Arabidopsis thaliana: one gene and its partners. The protein of the gene in region 3 interacts with the protein of the main gene of each other region in a pairwise test. Each region holds a gene or a part of one and is shown on either strand. Other genes may lie near its edges.

Evidence for each region.
Region 1: the proteins of AT3G48240 (region 3) and PDE331 interact in a two-hybrid assay, tested with the Arabidopsis thaliana proteins (one large-scale study listed by BioGRID).
Region 2: the proteins of AT3G48240 (region 3) and AT5G22355 interact in a two-hybrid assay, tested with the Arabidopsis thaliana proteins (one large-scale study listed by BioGRID).
Region 4: the proteins of AT3G48240 (region 3) and AT5G64430 interact in a two-hybrid assay, tested with the Arabidopsis thaliana proteins (one large-scale study listed by BioGRID).

What each region holds. Positions count from the first base shown.
Region 1 is NC_003071.7:113,169-118,278, reverse strand, and holds PDE331 (Octicosapeptide/Phox/Bem1p family protein), read right to left. Parts: upstream 3,354-5,110; 5' UTR 3,257-3,353; coding exon 1,956-3,256; intron 1,845-1,955; coding exon 983-1,844; 3' UTR 529-982; downstream 1-528.
Region 2 is NC_003076.8:7,399,711-7,404,516, forward strand, and holds AT5G22355 (Cysteine/Histidine-rich C1 domain family protein), read left to right. Parts: upstream 1-1,996; 5' UTR 1,997-2,051; coding exon 2,052-4,046; 3' UTR 4,047-4,262; downstream 4,263-4,806. Other genes in the region: ELM1 (fission ELM1-like protein (DUF1022)), read right to left, coding at 1-170, 851-1,036; VAMP714 (vesicle-associated membrane protein 714), read right to left, coding at 4,669-4,759.
Region 3 is NC_003074.8:17,865,386-17,868,971, reverse strand, and holds AT3G48240 (Octicosapeptide/Phox/Bem1p family protein), read right to left. Parts: upstream 1,842-3,586; 5' UTR 1,592-1,841; coding exon 1,435-1,591; intron 1,351-1,434; coding exon 965-1,350; 3' UTR 512-964; downstream 1-511.
Region 4 is NC_003076.8:25,761,597-25,766,182, forward strand, and holds AT5G64430 (Octicosapeptide/Phox/Bem1p family protein), read right to left. Parts: upstream 2,825-4,586; 5' UTR 2,486-2,824; coding exon 944-2,485; 3' UTR 564-943; downstream 1-563.

The DNA of each region.
Region 1 (5,110 bases), on a different chromosome or scaffold from region 3:
AAGAGTTAAAGAAAAAAAGACAGAATTGCAGACATGAAAGAGACATAAGACAAGAAAAACCCATTAAGATCCAGTTGGTTTGAAGCAAGGGATGGGGAGCTGACCACAGAGAGAGATTTGGTTCAGATCTTGTAATCCAACCAGGTCTGCCAATGCTTCTGATGCACAAAGTCACATCTCAACTCTGTGAACACTGCAGAAATATTATCTGGGACTATTGACAACTCGATTCAAAGTGAGGCTCTGTGTTGCTTATGAGAGAATAGTGTAGTGCAAGAGTAAAATATCTTTGAGTCATGTATAGAGAGAGAGATAAAAAGGACTGGGTTTGGTGTTTAGGTAAAGATACAAATGCCTATCTCTTTCAAAAGAGATAGTTGTGTTGCTAAATTGCAAGACAGATCGATTTTGTCACTACCTTTTTCACCCACACCTTGTCTCTTAGAAGTTGTAGGGTTTGTGTGTACTTTTGCAAGACCACACACATGTTTTAATATCTGTACCTATGCTCCCATGGATAGCAAGAAGCCAGACATACATTCTTCCAAATATTAAATGTTATACATAACATTTCAGAATCTTTCTGAACAATATTATAGCCTTCAAAGTCTCTTGAAAAAACAAGATAGAGAGATGATGATCAAAAAAGTGATACATTTACAAAATGAAATGAATGATAATAATATGATATAAGATCCAGGAAAATGGTAAAGCACTACATGTATCAATTGCAACTATATAATGTAAAATCCCACCAAGAAGCACTATTTATTTGTTTTTTTAATTTACTCACACAACACTTTTAAACACAACCCATAATACCAAACTTAACATGACACCAGACTCTTTTTTTGATGCAGCAACTTGTAAAAGAAGAGAAGAAAAAAGAAGTAAAAGTTATATATTTATACGTTTAAAAACCAACCCGGGGTTTTCTTCCTCCAAAATTTTGTGGTTCATCTTCATGTGTTCCTTGTGTGTGTCACAATGGCTGTGAACTCCGGATCTGTTGAGTCATGTTCTCAGCTGGAAGCTTAGCAGCAGCAGAACCATCAGGCATCACCATGGCAGGTGGAGGCCCAGTCATTGTCTGGTACTGTGCATGTCCCATAGGTTGAGTGTAGTATATCTGTGTATGAGCATTGTCGACATATTCATATCCATAGTTTGGATTCCCAGCTGAACCAGACTGAGGAGGGTGACGGATCTGCGAATACCCCATGAATTGCTGCTGGTTTGTGGGAATCTGGTGAACCATCTGAGCACCGCCCACACCTGGGGCTGTTGTGTAAACCCCAGCCTGTCCCATCTCAGGTTTGCCACTGCTAACACTTCTCATGTGGTTGTTAGGAGGTGGAGGCATCATGGTAGAGTTGGGATGGTTAGAGGGGATAGACCCTGCAGCATCGCTCACACTTGGAGATTGTGGCACAGGCATACTGTAGGGCCTAGGTGGGACAGGAGCAGTGACATAATAAACAGGATAAGGCTGCTGATCCAGTCGACCTGCGTGTTGATGGAAGGACTGTTGAGGCTGTTGCGAAGGGTAAACCTGGATGTAAGTCGGGACAGGAAGGCCGCTAGACGGATGGTGATGAATGTATTGAGGAGGAGCAGCAGTGTGTATGAACTGCTGCTGTGGCTGAGATTGTGCAGATTGTTGCTCAAACTGGGGGTGAAGGATATAGGCTGGGTCCTGATTCTGATGCTGTGACAAAAGTGTGCTTGGATCTGAGGGATTGATCATACCAGTAACAACGGTAGAGCCAGAAGGTATCTGAGCAATTGGTTCTTGATAGACAGATGGTCTTTGGTGAAACATTGGGTTGCTCATACTGCTATCACTGAGGCATTCATTATATAGCAAACACACAATCAGAGTTCTGACCAATCTTAGTTCTTCTATAGCATCAAATTAAGGCTCATGAGGGTTCCAATATAAGAAGAAAGAGTACCTGGAAACGGAATTGGGTGATGGCAGCTCGTGTCCACCACCGCTATTTGATTTCAGCTGATGAGCCTGCTGAGGCGGTAGATTCTGCGGCTGCGATCGCGGAGTCGGAGGCTTCCTGTATCCAGCCTGCACGCCGTGATCGGATCTCTCGTCATCTGAGTAAACCCTGGCCTGGAACTCATTAGAGACGGTGGCTGCAGTCACAGGCGCAGCAGGAAGGGCGATTGTGACAGGCATCGGCGGTGGTGAAGAGATCGCAGCAAATCCGTCGTCATGTAGCTGATGCTTGTTCCCGACGTTGAATCGTGCGAACTGTTCTTCAATTCCCAGATTTCTCTGATCTGGCAAAGTCCTTACTCCGCCTGGTTCCTCTACATGGACACGGATCGGAGGCAAATTGGCGAGCGAGGGAGACGAAGAAGTGGAGCCGAAAGAAGAGGATGTATCTAACATCGGAGAATCCGGTAAGCAGTTCACATCTTGGCCTCCTTGCTGTTGTTCTTGCTGCTGCGGCGGTGGAGGTTGCTGTTGCTTGGCGCTTTTAACAGAGCCATCATCACCATCTCGATTGTTGTTGTCACCGGAATTAGAACGGAGAGCAAGAGCATCATCCAAACCAAGTAAACGATTGACGTTAGTATCAGAATCTGAGAATCCTCGATTGAGAAGACCGGCGCTATTGAGTGCGTTGAGGAACCAATCGTCGCTCTTGGCAGAGCTCTCAAGGATCTGACCCATAGATTGAGTAGCCTCAGGCTTGGAGGTGAATAGAAACAACCGGAGACGCGAAGGTTTGGTGGAATTGGAAGCGGAAATGGTACGGTCATACTCTTCGATCATGTTGTCGAGATCTTCGTCGGTAGTGACGGAGATGAGAGAGTCAAGGTCTTCGCTAGGTAACTGGTACTTGAGGGTGAAGGAACGACCGTCGAGAAGCGTGTTGGAGAGACGAGCGATGAGAGAAGGGAGAGAGGAGTTACGGTCGACGACAACGATGCGAGTGTCACCGCCCATGTAGCAGAGAGACTTATCGTGAGGGCGAGGAAGGATATGACCGCCGTAGCTACACATAAAACGAAGTTTAGAAGAGACGGCGCTACCACCACCGCCACCGCCGCCGCCAGAAGGAGCAGGAAGGTCATCCCAGCCATCGGTGGTGCGAGAACGAGGGGAGGAGTCGAGAGATTCGGGGTAAGAAGAAGTCACGTGAGGAGGTAGAGGAGGAGGAACAGGAGCAGTGGCGGCGGAGATGGAGGTGGAAGCCACCGCGGTGGAGGACAGAGAAGAAGGCGGTGGTTCCATTTGCAGAAGAAAAATTAAATTGAATTTGATATTTAGAGAGAGAAAGAGTTAGTACTTAGTAGTAGTATAGCTGTTAGTCCACGACTTGTATGTAAATGTAGACTACAGCTGTTTTTTTTTTCTTCTTTTTATTTTCCTCTTAAATCTCATTTTTGGCATATTTTACTATTTTTACCAAACAATTATGGTTAAATTTATTTCTCTTTCAGTCCAATTTCTTTCAGTTTTTTTTTTTTTATAATGACATTTTAATAGAAAATCATGAAATTGATAAGAATGTTTGTGTGTATTACCTTAATAGTGTTAGTGAATTTGTGTGTATTACCTTTCAAAATTGTATTTGTTCGTGATGGTTTATCTGATGCCATGTATATCATTTTGTGTTGATAAGAATGTTTGATGCAATTAAGACCAACATGCTCTTTCAAATGGATGTATGTATGATCAACTATATAAACCATCCGTCAAGCAGTAAGTATAAATTGTGTATGCGAGTTAACTGCGAATCGAGAGACCGAGTTCTCAAAAATGTTGTTACATACGTGTCGGGATTTTTCATAGACATTACTTCCTTTATATCAAAATATACGATGTTTTAGGATTTTTTTTTAAAATATATATCATGTTTTACAAATTTTTAAATACATTTGATATTTTATGATCATTTTTATTATGCAATCTTTTATATCATTGACAAATTTTCTTGAATTAAATATTAAATAATTATTTTTTAAAAAAATATTTTAATACAAAGAGAGTAAGATTTATCACTATCTTAAAATTTTTGTTATTAGTTAGGAAATAAAAACTCACACTATAATGATCGCCTCAATGTTATTTTGTCGACTTTCTTATGGATACATCTAATGCATTATCAACTATATAAACCGTTTGTCAACGAGTAAATACAATTTGTGTATGTGAGCTAACTGGAAATTGAGAGACGGAGATTCCATAAATGTGGTTACATATATGTCGGGATTTTCCATAAACACTACTTCCCTTATATCAAATTATAAGATGTTTTAGAAAAATTTTAAAATAATATATACTTTTTACCAATTTTTATGCAAATTTTAAATATTTTGATATTTTATGACCATTTGTATTATGCAGCCTTTATATCATTGGCTGAATTTTTTTGAATTAAATTATTTAATACTTCTTTTCAAAAACAATTTATTTTTTTCAAGTGTATGCATTTTAGCTAAAACATCCTACCTTTTAATACAAAGGTAGTATTTTTTTGTTATTAGTTAGAATGTAAAAACTCACAATATAATGATCGCAAATATGATTAAATTTAACGTATCATTAGGCTATTGTAGTACGGCTGGTGACAAAAATATTTTATTTAGTAAACTAGTATACCCACTACAAACAGTCAAACAATGTTAATATAATTTAATTAGTTAATTGGTTATTTTGTTAAAGAAAAGCAACAAACTGATGATAATTTAGTTTTCTACTACTACTGTATATTAATATATATAAATATATAATATTACCAAAAAGAGTTATAAAAAAAACCCAACGGTTATAAGTTATAACATACAACAAGGTCACATGAAAATGGTGAATAACCCCAAAACAAATATATTTTGGCACATTAGCAACAAATGCACGAGATTATTACCTTTTCAAATCACTTTAATCAACAATTTAGAAAGGAATAAGATGAATAGAGTTTCCTAAAGCAAAGTAATGAATAAAATTGGACGATGATATGATTATGGAAAGCTGATTCGTAATTACTTTGATTAGTAAAAGGTGAGACATTATAAGCGTTACTAATCAAAAGTTGTAATTAAGGAATCAAAGAAGTTGTGGGTCACATTATTTGACAGCAGGCCT
Region 2 (4,806 bases), on a different chromosome or scaffold from region 3:
TTACCACCATTCTCTGAGGGTACAGATGAGATGTATTTACTTTGTTTGGATCCAAGCATCAATCTGGAGTAGAGGTAAATATGCCTGAGGATAAAGTCCAACTTCTTGTGAAAACCAACTGGGAGCCAGTGCAGCCACTCATTTAGTCCTCCTTTAGGCCTTGTCACTCGCTTGCATAAAGAAAAAGAGATAATCTCAGCTAACCAAAAATCATGTTAAATGTAAATTTACGTGAATGTCGAGTCTATGAATGATCAAGAAGCTAGAGAAACCAGACACAGCAAAACAGCCTTATATGCATCCAAACTGATCTAAAAGAAGCATTAAAGACTCCACTACCAGTGTTCCTTGTAAACGAAATTCAGTAATTGCACCAGCATCATGCTCCACCAATGATTCAATTCTCTTTAAGATTTACCAAAAAAAATTATAAATAAAACTGACAATATAGGTAGTTATGACACCCCAAGAACCTTCCACTGTTTACCCTAAATTTGCAGAACTTGAGATATTGGCAAATTTACATATTTACCAATTCATTGTTTCCATAAAAATTCAAATAGTTCCTCCTTCTCTGAACATTCATACACTCTAAAGAAGTACTAAACAATATGAAATTTCCACTCCTACTTAGACTGAGACCTAACAAGCTAAAAACCTAGAACACACGACGAAACAACAAAGTAAAAGAAACTCCTATCCAAAAGCAATCATCAATCTCTCAACTACATCATGCGCCTAGCAAAAACTGACGAGAATTTCGAGTATAGTATCAATGGTTTATAGTCGACGAAATGAAAGCACTAAGCAGATGCTAAAAACGTCTAGAGCCTAGATCAAAGAAACTCACGTAGAGAAGGTGATTATCAGATAAGCCGAGCGCACGAACGAGACCGATACACTGATTCTCGGAGCCAGGGAAACCGTTTCCGATGACGACGGCGCGTCTGACGACGTTATGGGAACCGCCTTGTTCGAAAATATCAGGGACGCCGGTAGATAGACTGGGTGGATCCGGCAATAGGATTGGCCTCATGCCGGTTAGATTATCGATTCCGATTCCGATCAAAAACCCTAGAGGAACCACACCGAGATTTGGGGGGATTGATCTCAACTCCGTAGAGAGAAGGTCGTGGTGCTTTGACAAGTTGCGAAAGGTCACAGAAAGAGAGATTGTTTTCCTTTTCTCCTTCAAGAGATTGTCTTTACGCTAAAATTTGGTATAACAATTAACAAAGGACAAATTTAAGGTCTTAAACGAATTTTTTGCTAATCAATAAAACTAATTTTGTCAATACAAAACATACAATTGTTTAAAAAAAAAGAAATTGTATGGTATTTTAAAAATTTTGATTTTAGAATTTGAAGTTTTGGAATTTTGTTTTGTTATATGATGATTAAAATTAAAATTTCACCGATAGTCATCCAAAATTAGAATAAAACACTATTTGTCACATAATTGCTGTTTTTCTAATTGTCTATTCAAATCTTATGAACCTCTTCGTAGGCCCAATATGTAGAATTTGATTGTTAAAAGGTGAAGCCTTATCTGGAAAAAGCCCAACTGTTATTGTTCTTCCTGTGCCTCGTTTTGTCTCGGTCTAACTTTTTTACACACGACTTTACCAATCATAGTATTCAAAGAAATCTAGCGATCTCAAGACTCCGAGTGTCACGATAGAGAATATGAAATTGCAGAAATGATTCAATATAATTATATATCTTAGCTGTTGTTAACACGTTAGATGTTGAGTTTAGGAAATTAATTTATTGGGTATTTTCATACTATTATATTCATAGGTAGCTATAACGATGATAAGATAATTTAATGTGTGCAGGTTGTAAACAGTTAGGAATATGAAATAATTCAACTATATATTATAATCATCTCGTGGAAAACAGGATCGATTGCACATGATTCATTGGAGACAAGAATCGTTAAGGTGTTCACACATTACGTGTCTTTGTTATATTGGGGTTACAAAGATGCATTCATATGATGTAGTATTATCTTGAGATCTCCAGAAAACAAACCGCATTTGAATCACAAAATGGATCTACCACCCAAAATACTACCAACTCACAAATATCCTTTGACCATTTCGACTCGTTTTGTTAATGATTCTTGTAAAGGTTGCAATATAAAAGGTCCCATCTATGGCGGCTACCGTTGCAACGAGCCTTCCTCTACTAGTTTGTTCTTCCACAAAGAGTGCGCAGAGGCTCCACCGGAGATTATCAACCATCCTTCTCATCCTCAACACACTCTTAAACTCCACAATTCTCTAAGGAACCCATGTAAATGTAATCTATGTGGCAAGACTTTTTTCGCTTTTGGTTATCGTTGTTCATCAAAATGTGACTTCATCGTGGATCTCACTTGTGGGATAAATCCATTGCCGGTTTCTATCGAACATCCAAAGTCTCATCATCATCCAGTTATCTTCTTGAAAGAACCCGCAAAGCCGGGTAGGCGCAGATGCGGAATTTGCAAGGGCTATAATGGTGGATGTTCTTATGCATGTCTTGAATGTGAAGTCCACTTTCATGTCGAGTGTGTCAATCTTTCCCAAGAGGTGAATCATCCTTCTCATCCTCAACATTCTCTCAAGTTACTTGAATATGAATCACTAACAAGTGATGCTGAAGAGACATGTCTTTTATGTGGAGAACGACCAGACAAAGTGCTTTATCGCTGCTCGATATGCAACTTCAGCGTATGTCGATTCTGTACAAAAGATCCACCACCACTTGCTATCGAGCATCATAAGACGCACGAGCATCGACTTGTCCTCTTATCAAGACTCATCTCATTTGAATGTAATGCTTGTGGGATGCAAGGTGATCGAAGTCCTTACATGTGTGTTCAATGCGGGTTTGTTGTCCATAGAACTTGTATTGACTTACCACGTGTCATAAACATCAACCGTCACGATCATCGCATCTCTTTCACCCATCATCTCGGTGTTGGGTACTCGAGATGCGGTATTTGTCGCAAAGATATAAGTCAATACCATGGGGCTTATTTATGCCCTCGTTGCCCGAACTATGCAGCTCATTCACTATGTGCAACAAGAAAAGACGTATGGGATGGGGTAGAACTCGAAGGGACACCAGATGATGATGACGAAGATATTGTGCCGTTCAAAGTGGTGGGTGATAACTTGATCAAGCATTTCAGTCATGAAGAACATAATCTAAGACTCAACAAGGACAATATCAATCGTGACGAAGGCTCACGTTGTGAAGCATGCGTCCTTCCTATCTATTCCGATCCGATCTACAACTGTGAGGAATGTCGTTTCATTCTCCATGAGAAATGCGCTAATCATCCAAAAAAGAAACGACATGTATTCCACACAAAACCATTCACACTATGGTCCAGACCACCTCGTACATTCCATAGCAAAGATTTTAGATTCTACGATGTCTTTCGCTGCTATGCTTGTAGAACGAAGTCTACTGGTTTCAGGTACGTTTCTGATTGGTGGGTTCTAGATGTACGTTGTGGTTCGCGTTCTGAACCGGTCATTCATGATGGTCACAGACATCCTCTATATTACGAACATAAGAAAGATCACTGTTGTGATGCATGTTATAAAGAGATAGATGGTTATCTGCTTTCCTGTGACACTTGTGACTTTGATCTGGATTTACACTGTACTGATTTACCAAAAACGGTAAAGCACAGCTGCGACAATCATCCTCTTTCCCTATGCTATGGCGAAAATGCAACCGGAAAATATTGGTGTGATATTTGCGAGGCGGAAACAGATCCAAGTAAGTGGTTCTACACTTGCTCTAAATGTGTGGTTACTGCACATATTGAATGTGTGCTTGGAGACTTTTCACGTCTCATGCCAGGACGCATCATCAACTACAATAATGTTAGAGTTGAAGTGGTTCTTAACAGCTATAGTTCTCGCCCCTTCTGTGCAAAATGTCACTCCAGATGCAGAGCTCCTATCATTCTAAAGCTTTGTGATCCATATACTGGATACATTTGTTCCGATGCATGTGTAGTGCCCGACTATCAATACAGCTAAGACAACTATGTAGCTGTTTATTTCACTCTATTGTTTCTCGTAATTTTTTGGATGTAAGAGTTTATTTCCAACTACAAGTGCTAAGCATTCTGGTTATATTCATACTGTGTTCATCAGTACAGGCAGGATTAAACTGTATCGATGACATATATAAAGTCGTAACAAGTTATGACAAACTTGCTAAAAAGGTAGTAGCAACTAATATGATTTAGTTAATGAAAACATAGACAGAAATGATGGAAACAGATATTTGTGAATCAGAAATGTTATTAAACAAAGATGAAAACTGAAGTAATTTTAACAACAAAAATAACGAATATGTGATGTACATTGCAAATGCAAAAATTATAAAGACACAGCGGATAAAGTTTTGGAAATACAGAGAACAAACTCACTCACGTGACTAAATCTAAAAGACAAGGCAAGAGTTCAATGAACCTCTGTATCATTTTGATTTTGACATTTACAAGAGTTACATAAGCAAGGAGGACCATGACATGTAACTTCAAACTCACAGTCATTTTCATGACAAAACCAAGGCTTCAAATCGAAATGATGCGACTGAGTTGATTTACAAAAACAGTGGTCCGTTTCAGTATACCTTAGATAAGGCCGCCAGATTTTAAGATCTGCATGATGGTAAAGTGATTCCTCCGCAGAAAGATGCGATTATTATGTACAGCAAGAAAACTATCAAGCATGTCAACAAGACCCTGCCGAACACAAACAAGAAAAGCAGTTTTGTTGATTAATAAAAGTG
Region 3 (3,586 bases):
GATGCTGACATTTAACCATTCACCAAAGTTAGAGAAGTGTCCACTTGCCCTACATTTTCTATTTTTCCAAATTTTTACTTGTAAAGGTTAGAAGATCGATTGGCTCAGTGACACAGTGACATGATTAAGACATTTGCTTCAATTAGATCCAACGATGTCGAGTAAATCAAATTTGTTGAGAAATGGTCAAATCAAATTTTAACATATTGTTAACAAAATAAAATTTTGATTAATTCTTCTTCAGAAAACAGTCTCCCTCAGTGTTTATGCATTCATATTGTTAAGATCTTAATTGCGTTCTTACGATCTTTGGTCACTTGACAATCTATCAAAAAAAAAAAAATTTATTTTTTTTTGTCTATGAGTGTGGGATTTAATAATTAATAGTTTTTGGGATCTATATATAATTCCCTGTTTTTTTTTGTTCTTTTTCTTGGGAAAATAAAAACTTAGTTGGATATATGTCATCCTGACTAGACCCATAAAATAAGACAAAATAAAATAAAATAATGTACAATATAAATCTATATAATATACAAACAAAAACAAAATGAAAGTTTAGCAAAATACAAAAACAATGAATGGAGAGCAAAACCTCTGCTGAGGAAACAAAATAAGAAACTCTAACAGAGGTACACGTGTGAGGATACACATCCACTGATCCCCACAATACACACGTGTACTCGCATCTGACTACGACACGTTTCACGTCTGGAACAGTCGCAACATACCACGTATTGAATAAAACTGACGTCGTACGTTGCCCACATATCTTAACGGCAAAGTTAACGGTTAATAACCGCCGGGAAAATATTCCGTCAACTTCTCCGTTTGTTCACCGACCACAAAATTTCACTAATTTTCATAATTCCTTCTCTTCACATACAACAACACATCATAAAACCCTAGATTTCATTTTTTCACATTTATTTTTTCTAAGCCATTTTTATTTCTCCGTCTGACGTTATTGCCAGATAAGCTTGGAGTCTCTGTTTGGAACACGGCAGTTACAGCAACGAGAGTATTCTCCAGTTCTCATACGGAATCTACTGAGAAGATTCTCCGTCGGCGGAGCCACACAATACCGAGGCGGAGATGGAGAAGCCACGACGGAGAACGGCGATTTCGGCGATAGATCTCCACCGCCGCCGCTAGATCGTGGTGACATCTGCTTAGGAGGCGACAAAATCGCACGGATCTTGCCTCCGTAAACACGATCATATTCTTCAACGATATTCACCAGATCTTCGTCCGATTTGACGGAGATTAGTGTCTCGAGATCTCCATTTGGTAATTGACACTTCAATTCAACGGAGTATCCACAAAATTCCTCCAACTTCATCGTCAATTCTGAAGGAGAAGTAGAAAAATCAATTTCGATGAATTGGAAAAGTTAGATGAAATTGGAATGGGGGGAAAAAGATTGAAACGGACCTGTGAAAGAGATAGAGTGATGAACGGAGAGTACTCTGGTGAAACCGCCGACGTAACGGAGCTTTCCATCGATAGAACGAGGGAGGATTCTTCCGCCGTAACTGCAGAGGAACTTGAGACTGTTCTTCGTTTTCTGATTCTCAGCTACGGCCACCATTGTTAGAAGCTTCTAGGTTTCAAAATTTTCTGTGTCTTTTTTGCCTTTTGGTTTCTTTTTCTCTTAAACCGAGAATTCTGGGGGACGAGTGGAACTTATTTATAGGTAGGAAATGACGTCATTGTTGGACAGGGAAATGAAAATATTCGTTCCTTTGTTGGACATCACAAGGCTGTTTTGGACAATTTTGTTATTAATAACCCAATACTCTTTTAATTCTCCTCGCATTACGCAAAGAAATCGAGTTTTGTGTATTTTTGAAGTTAAGTGGCTCATATTTATTGGCTGTAATTAATTATGTATTAATGTCGTCGATTCATTGATACACTTTCTCGAAACCAAATCTTTTCATGTAAATTTAGTCCCGGCTCAAACAATCGAGAAGCCTTACGGCAACTTACAAAAAGGAGTTTTTTCAAGCATGCTAAAACAAAAACCATTTCATATAATCATGTTTTAAGTTCTATATCTTCATTTATCAATACCACATTACTTTAAATTGCTTCATATCTTATGCATCCTCTTCTATTGGATCTAAAACAACAAAATAAAACACAATAGTTAATTTGAAATAAAGAAACGCTTTTGACGAACTCTAGTCAACGCAAAGTCATGAATGACAGTGTCAAAGTCTATGCTTTCTAACTAACTGATATAAGATCCAAGTAGATGACCACACGATACTCTCTACGTAGATGGCGGAGCCGGTACAAAGGACCACACGGTTCTCTTTGGTTCAGCTAATAGGTGGAATGGATCGAAGACGCCACACAATCGATGATGAGATTGTAATAAGTCAAAGAACTCACGATCAAGGGGGAAGCCGCACAAGACCGGTGAACTCGTAAACACTTTAAAGAAAATTCTCTCTTTATTGATAATAAGCAAAAATATGAACTACAATGGCTGCAATGGACCTTATTAATATGTCGACAGCGTTGACCTTCAAGGGTCTTGAAAAAGAGAAGAAAAAGGCAACAAATAATTGAGAAATAAATGACAAAATAAACTTAGACTAATTTCAACCCAACCTGCAAAAGAAAGGAAAGTTGACAGCTAATTAGAAGATTTAAATGCATACCTTAGTTTGGAGAGGAAGCTCACGACCTTGGAAGCGTCCACTACGGACATTCCTTAAATGGCGTCCCTTGGAGTGATGACAAAGAGAACATGGGCTTCGTTTGTCTTAAGGAGAGGCCTTTCACTTGTTGGATCACAAAAGCTTGGGCAACACTTAAGTCTTGAGTTGTAACCGTAACTTGTTGCTCCGTTGACTCCGTTTCTTGTTCTTTAAGCTTGTTACTACAAAGAGTGAGATTATCGAATTGATTGATGGTGTTTTCCATTTCTCTATAGGTTATCAAACTCTCCACAGCTTTGTTGAATTCTTCCCGCATCGTCTTTGAACCGGACCTTGTTCTAGGCGGTTGATACATTGTCGGAACCCGAGTAACTTCAGTACAGTTTGAATTTATGTCCTCATCACTAACTTTTTCAATGCATAGAATAACTAGACCATTCAACCTTTGTTGAGACATAGAGGACCTCATATAATTTTTTAATAACTTCAATTTTGAGAAGCTTCTCTCGGTCTAAGCCACCGTCACGGGTGTTGTTAATAGGATTCGATAAGCGATTGAAACATTGGGATAACATCCTACATTTTCTACAAACTCAGGCACTTCACTAGGTGTCATTGACACTTGGTATAAAGTCATTTGCAAAACTTTTAATTCCGAAAAAGATCATTTAAATCAATATCCGAGACATTCTCATGAGAAAATGTTTTGTGAAAAATAATGCAATGCTCTTTTAATTCACCTTCATCAAGTGATTTTAATTTCAATAAATCAAACAAAAATCCAAATACACTTTTAAAAGTCATCATTTGTTCAAAACTATTCTTTACCGAAGAAATTGCCATATCCACAACAACAAGAAAATAATTGACTCTAAAATCATCTTCAACCGATAATGCTTCTTCATCATGATCAT
Region 4 (4,586 bases), on a different chromosome or scaffold from region 3:
CGGTTTTGGGATAAAATCAAATTCGGGAATTCATGCGTTGACAGAGTACAAAATGATCCAAAAATTGATAAAGTGAGACTTACCTGAGACATAGACTAGTGTAAAAGAGACACCTGTTTTAGATATCATAATTTAATAGGGGGGTTTTCTGTTTCGATTGATGCATTGTATTCCGTGATGATGTTGATGGTGATTCATATACATACTTAAAGTGTCGTTTATTGATTCGGGAAGGATGCAACAAATAAGTTTATGACATGGCCGATAAGTGAGTGACTAAAGCTATATGACTTTTCTTTGTAAGGATTCTTAAAAGTTCAAAACTCGTAGTCTAATAATATCCTTTCCCATAACACCTGTCCCTGAGTTTGATAGATAGTTTTCTTTGGACCAGTTTATATTTTAAAATCATATATTGTAGAAAATTCGGTTTAAATGTAGCTAAGATGACGCAGAGAACTTCTAGTAGACCATTTAACTAAAAGTCTGGTCACATACGAGAGAGTGTATATTTATCTCTTTACAAAGAAGCCAATTATTGATTTTGAAATGTTCTATCTTCCACAACAAAATGATTTTCATGTGGAACAACCCATATATATTATGGCCGAAGGACAACTACACCACTTGGATAGAAAAAAGGAGTTCAGCTTATTATGGCGAAAAGAAAAATAAAGGTAAAATGGCTTAAAAGGTTCTCAGATAAATGCAATCAAATGCACAATAGACTGGATTTAAGCAACGCGATGGAAGTTGCAGAATCAAGAACATCATCATAAGATAAAATAAACAAGTAGATAAAGGGAAAAAGAAAAAAACATTATTTATCAGACACCAAAGTGATCTTAATTACACTATATATATATATATATATAAAAGATGATGAAATTTGTTGTAATAGATTAACAATAATCTGATTCAACCATATGAAATACCTCATCAATCAAACAGCCGAATCTGAACTCTGAGATGAAACTTTAGGTGCCATGTTCATAGCAACAAGCTTCCCGTCCGGTCCAGTTCTCAATTCACTCATACCAGTTACAGGTAAGCCAACTCCATGGTACTGCGGCGGTGGAGCCTCCGTGTAATAAACTTGTTTCCCCATTCCTCCAGTGTAAGTCACCTGAGTATACGCTGATGTATCTGGTAATCCTACTACTTGTCGTGGCGGTGGTACTGCGGTGTATTGCGGTGGTGGAGGACCAGAGGTAAAAGGCTGAGGAGGAGGAGGTTGTTGTTGTTGTGCTGCTTTTGTTCCTATAGGTGCCTGAAGTGGCTGAGCCACGTTGTACGGTGATTGGTGTGGTTCTCTGTAAGTATCTGAAGCCACTCTCTGTACCTGAGGATAGTAGCCGCCTTGGTTTACTTGTCCTGTAAGTATTGGTCTGATGACACCTTGCGGTTGCGGTGGTGGTGGCGCGTGGTACACCGGAGATGGAGATGGAGATGGGATCATGTAAACTGGTTGCTCTGGTAATCCTAATCCATGTGTGGTTGTTGGAAATACGACTCCTGGATTGTGGTTTCCTTGCCAGAAAGTCGTCATCGGAGGAGCTTGCGGATTCGTTTGAGGAATCGTCTGCTGTGGCGGTGGTGGCGCAGGATTTTGTATGTACGGTGGAGAGAAGTATCCACCTCCGGTTTCTATTAAACCGTCTTCGTTACTCTTCCTTCTGTATACAGCTTCCTGTTGTTGTTGTTGTTCTTGATCCCTAATATGCATCCTCTGAAATTCCTGCATTTGTCTTTGAATTTCCATCGGATTTACGACGTGATCCGGTTGAATCACACGCGGATCGTTAAACAAAGGCGGTTCTAACGCCACAGGAACCGGTAATTTCACCTCAGCCGGTGGTGGCGGCGGCGGAGCTGCAACTTTCTCCGATCCAAACAAAAAATCCGCATTATTCGGAGGAGCAGTTACGGATTTCTCCGATTCAGATAGCCTAGGAACAGTGTTCAACGCCTCGACGAAGCGATCTCGATCCGATTGAGTCGAACTTTGAGAACCAAATCCAGAAGAAGCCGGGAAGAGAAACAAACGCATCCTCGCTGGCTTAGACGACAAACGAAGCAAGCGATCGTACTCGTGCATCATATGCTCCAGATCATCATCGTTCGTAACCGAGATCAAAGCGTCTAAGTCTTCTCCCGGAAGCTGATACTTAAACGTAACTTCTCCTCCGCCGCCATCACCGCCGCCGCATACGGTGGAGAGTTTGGAAGCTAAAACAGGGAATCTAATCCCGCGATCAACGGAAAGAATCTTCGTTTCTCCGTTTACGTAAGTGAGCTGATTATCGTGAGGCCGTGGCTGAATCTTGCCGCCATAGCTGCACATAAACTTCACCTTGTAGCTATGTTGCTGCTGGTTCTGGTTCTGATCATCCCATGGAGGCGGCGGGTTATCGAATTCGATCTCACGAGATCTCGGTGACGAGTCGGTTGAATCTGGATAAGAGTTGTACGAGAATTTCTCCATCTCTCCGCGAAAATTAAATGATTTTTTTTGTTGGTTTGGCTTAATTCATGAAGAGAAGAAATTAGAAAGAAATGAAGAAGACTGTTGTGATGAAATGGTTTTTATTATGTATCGGTGATGGTGGTGTTGGAAAATGAGTACGTGAACTTATTGCTCATTTACACGTGGCCTGTCAGATTTTATGAGTTTTAAGGCGGTGATGAGATTATGTGACGGTTCTGTGACGTTAGCTGAATCTCTCCATGGATTAATATGACTTTTGGGGACACTGTGAATGGGCCCAACACTAGTGTTTTGATACTTCGACGTTGAAAGAGGCCAGCTTTTAGCCTTTTACATGTTTTTTCTTAATATTTTGTTAAATCAACATTAGTGAAGCAATATTTTTAAGGTTAAGTGATAAATAAATAGTTAAGAAAAAGGGAAAAACAAAAGTCGTTGTCGTCGATCTTTCGCCTGATCAGGCTTAGATATGTTTTATGATTGTGTTATTGGATTTCTTTTGTGTATAACAAATATTTGAATGTTTGAATCATCATCATTCATCAACTGTATTACACATCCGAATAGTCTTTGGGTTAGTTCTAGAAGATAGATGTTTTTTAGTCTGTCAACATGCAGAAGAAAACTGTAAAAGGGTCAACAAAAAAAAATTGTTATGTTAAATTAACATCAAGAATATAAGATAATTTAAATTTGACACCGGTGAGTGTATACTCACTTTCTCGATTGTTTGCTATTATTATATACCTTAGATTATTGCCAACTTGCACCTTATTATAAACGGTGAAATTGTTGTAATTATTCAAACTTATAATAGACGTATTTCACTAGCATGCCGAAGGTGCAATCATGGTCGTACAAGAACAATATTTATATTGTCAAATTCACGTAACAATTTTTGTTGTTTTCCTTGTTTGTCGAAGACATGTGCATTGATTAGTATTTCTTCCAATATTATTTTGTGTTAGAACTTAGAAATGTTCATTATTTTCTCATCCTCTTAAATAATCCATATATATATGGACTAATCGGCCCGCCGTCCCGGTACGATGTTGCTCGATCAGTCATAAATCAAGTCGTGTCTCGTGGTTGTTTGTACTTGGCAGAGCAAGTCAATCAACCGAATTTTGGTAAAGATGCATCTTAGCCAAAACTTTTGATTTCACTAGATATACTAGAATTTAGCATTATACGAATGTCGACCATACTTTTTGATTACTTAAGAGCCTCTTATATAGTTAGTCCTATTATTGATAGTTTTCTTGTAGTAATATTTGAATATTATAACGAATCAAATTTTTCGAATCTAATAAGCACAAAAGAAAAATGGAATCGAATATTATTTTAAATGAAACTATGTACTAACATAAATCCAATTATGTTCAAATGAAACCAAATCAAATAAATGAAGTATTCCTAGCTTTGAATTAGTAAGTATCATATGAAATGGCTCCATATGGAAACCAAAAAATCCAACTGAATGCAAATGAAAGTGTTTTCACTACTTCATCGTAAATATAAAGAAATTGTTAGGTGTGATAATGAAAAACATTAGTTAACGGGCCAAAATTATATATTTACATAATAAAGGGGTAGTTTCATAAATTTGAGAACATGGTTGGAACATTTCAACAAATGAGACGAGTTCAATGTACACTTGAATTATGTACAAATCAGTACAAGAAGCTTAAGATTTGAAGCTAACATATAACATTCAAGTTCCCAACAACTTCACCGCTCATCTCCGCACGGCTTTCTTCATTTAGTAATCCTTCGCCGGATCGGATCATCGTTTCTCAGATTCCTCTTTTTAAGTTTCTTCTTTCAGGTTCGCAATCCGAATCTTCCACAACCATTGTTCGTTTCGCCTGTGATTCTGGTTTCTGAAATTTCTGCCTTGGCGTGGTTTCCTTGAATCTGATTACTTGGATTCTCCGATTCTCATAGTTCTTACCAGTTTTTGTTTTTTATTTCACTTAATTTGTTCTGATTCTGGATAACAGATTCTTATGATAAGGTGAAAGATACTAGAGATTCATCGGTTTTGTTTTGTTTTGGCAATTTTCTCAAGTGTTTGACTTATAGAACAGTGACGTGT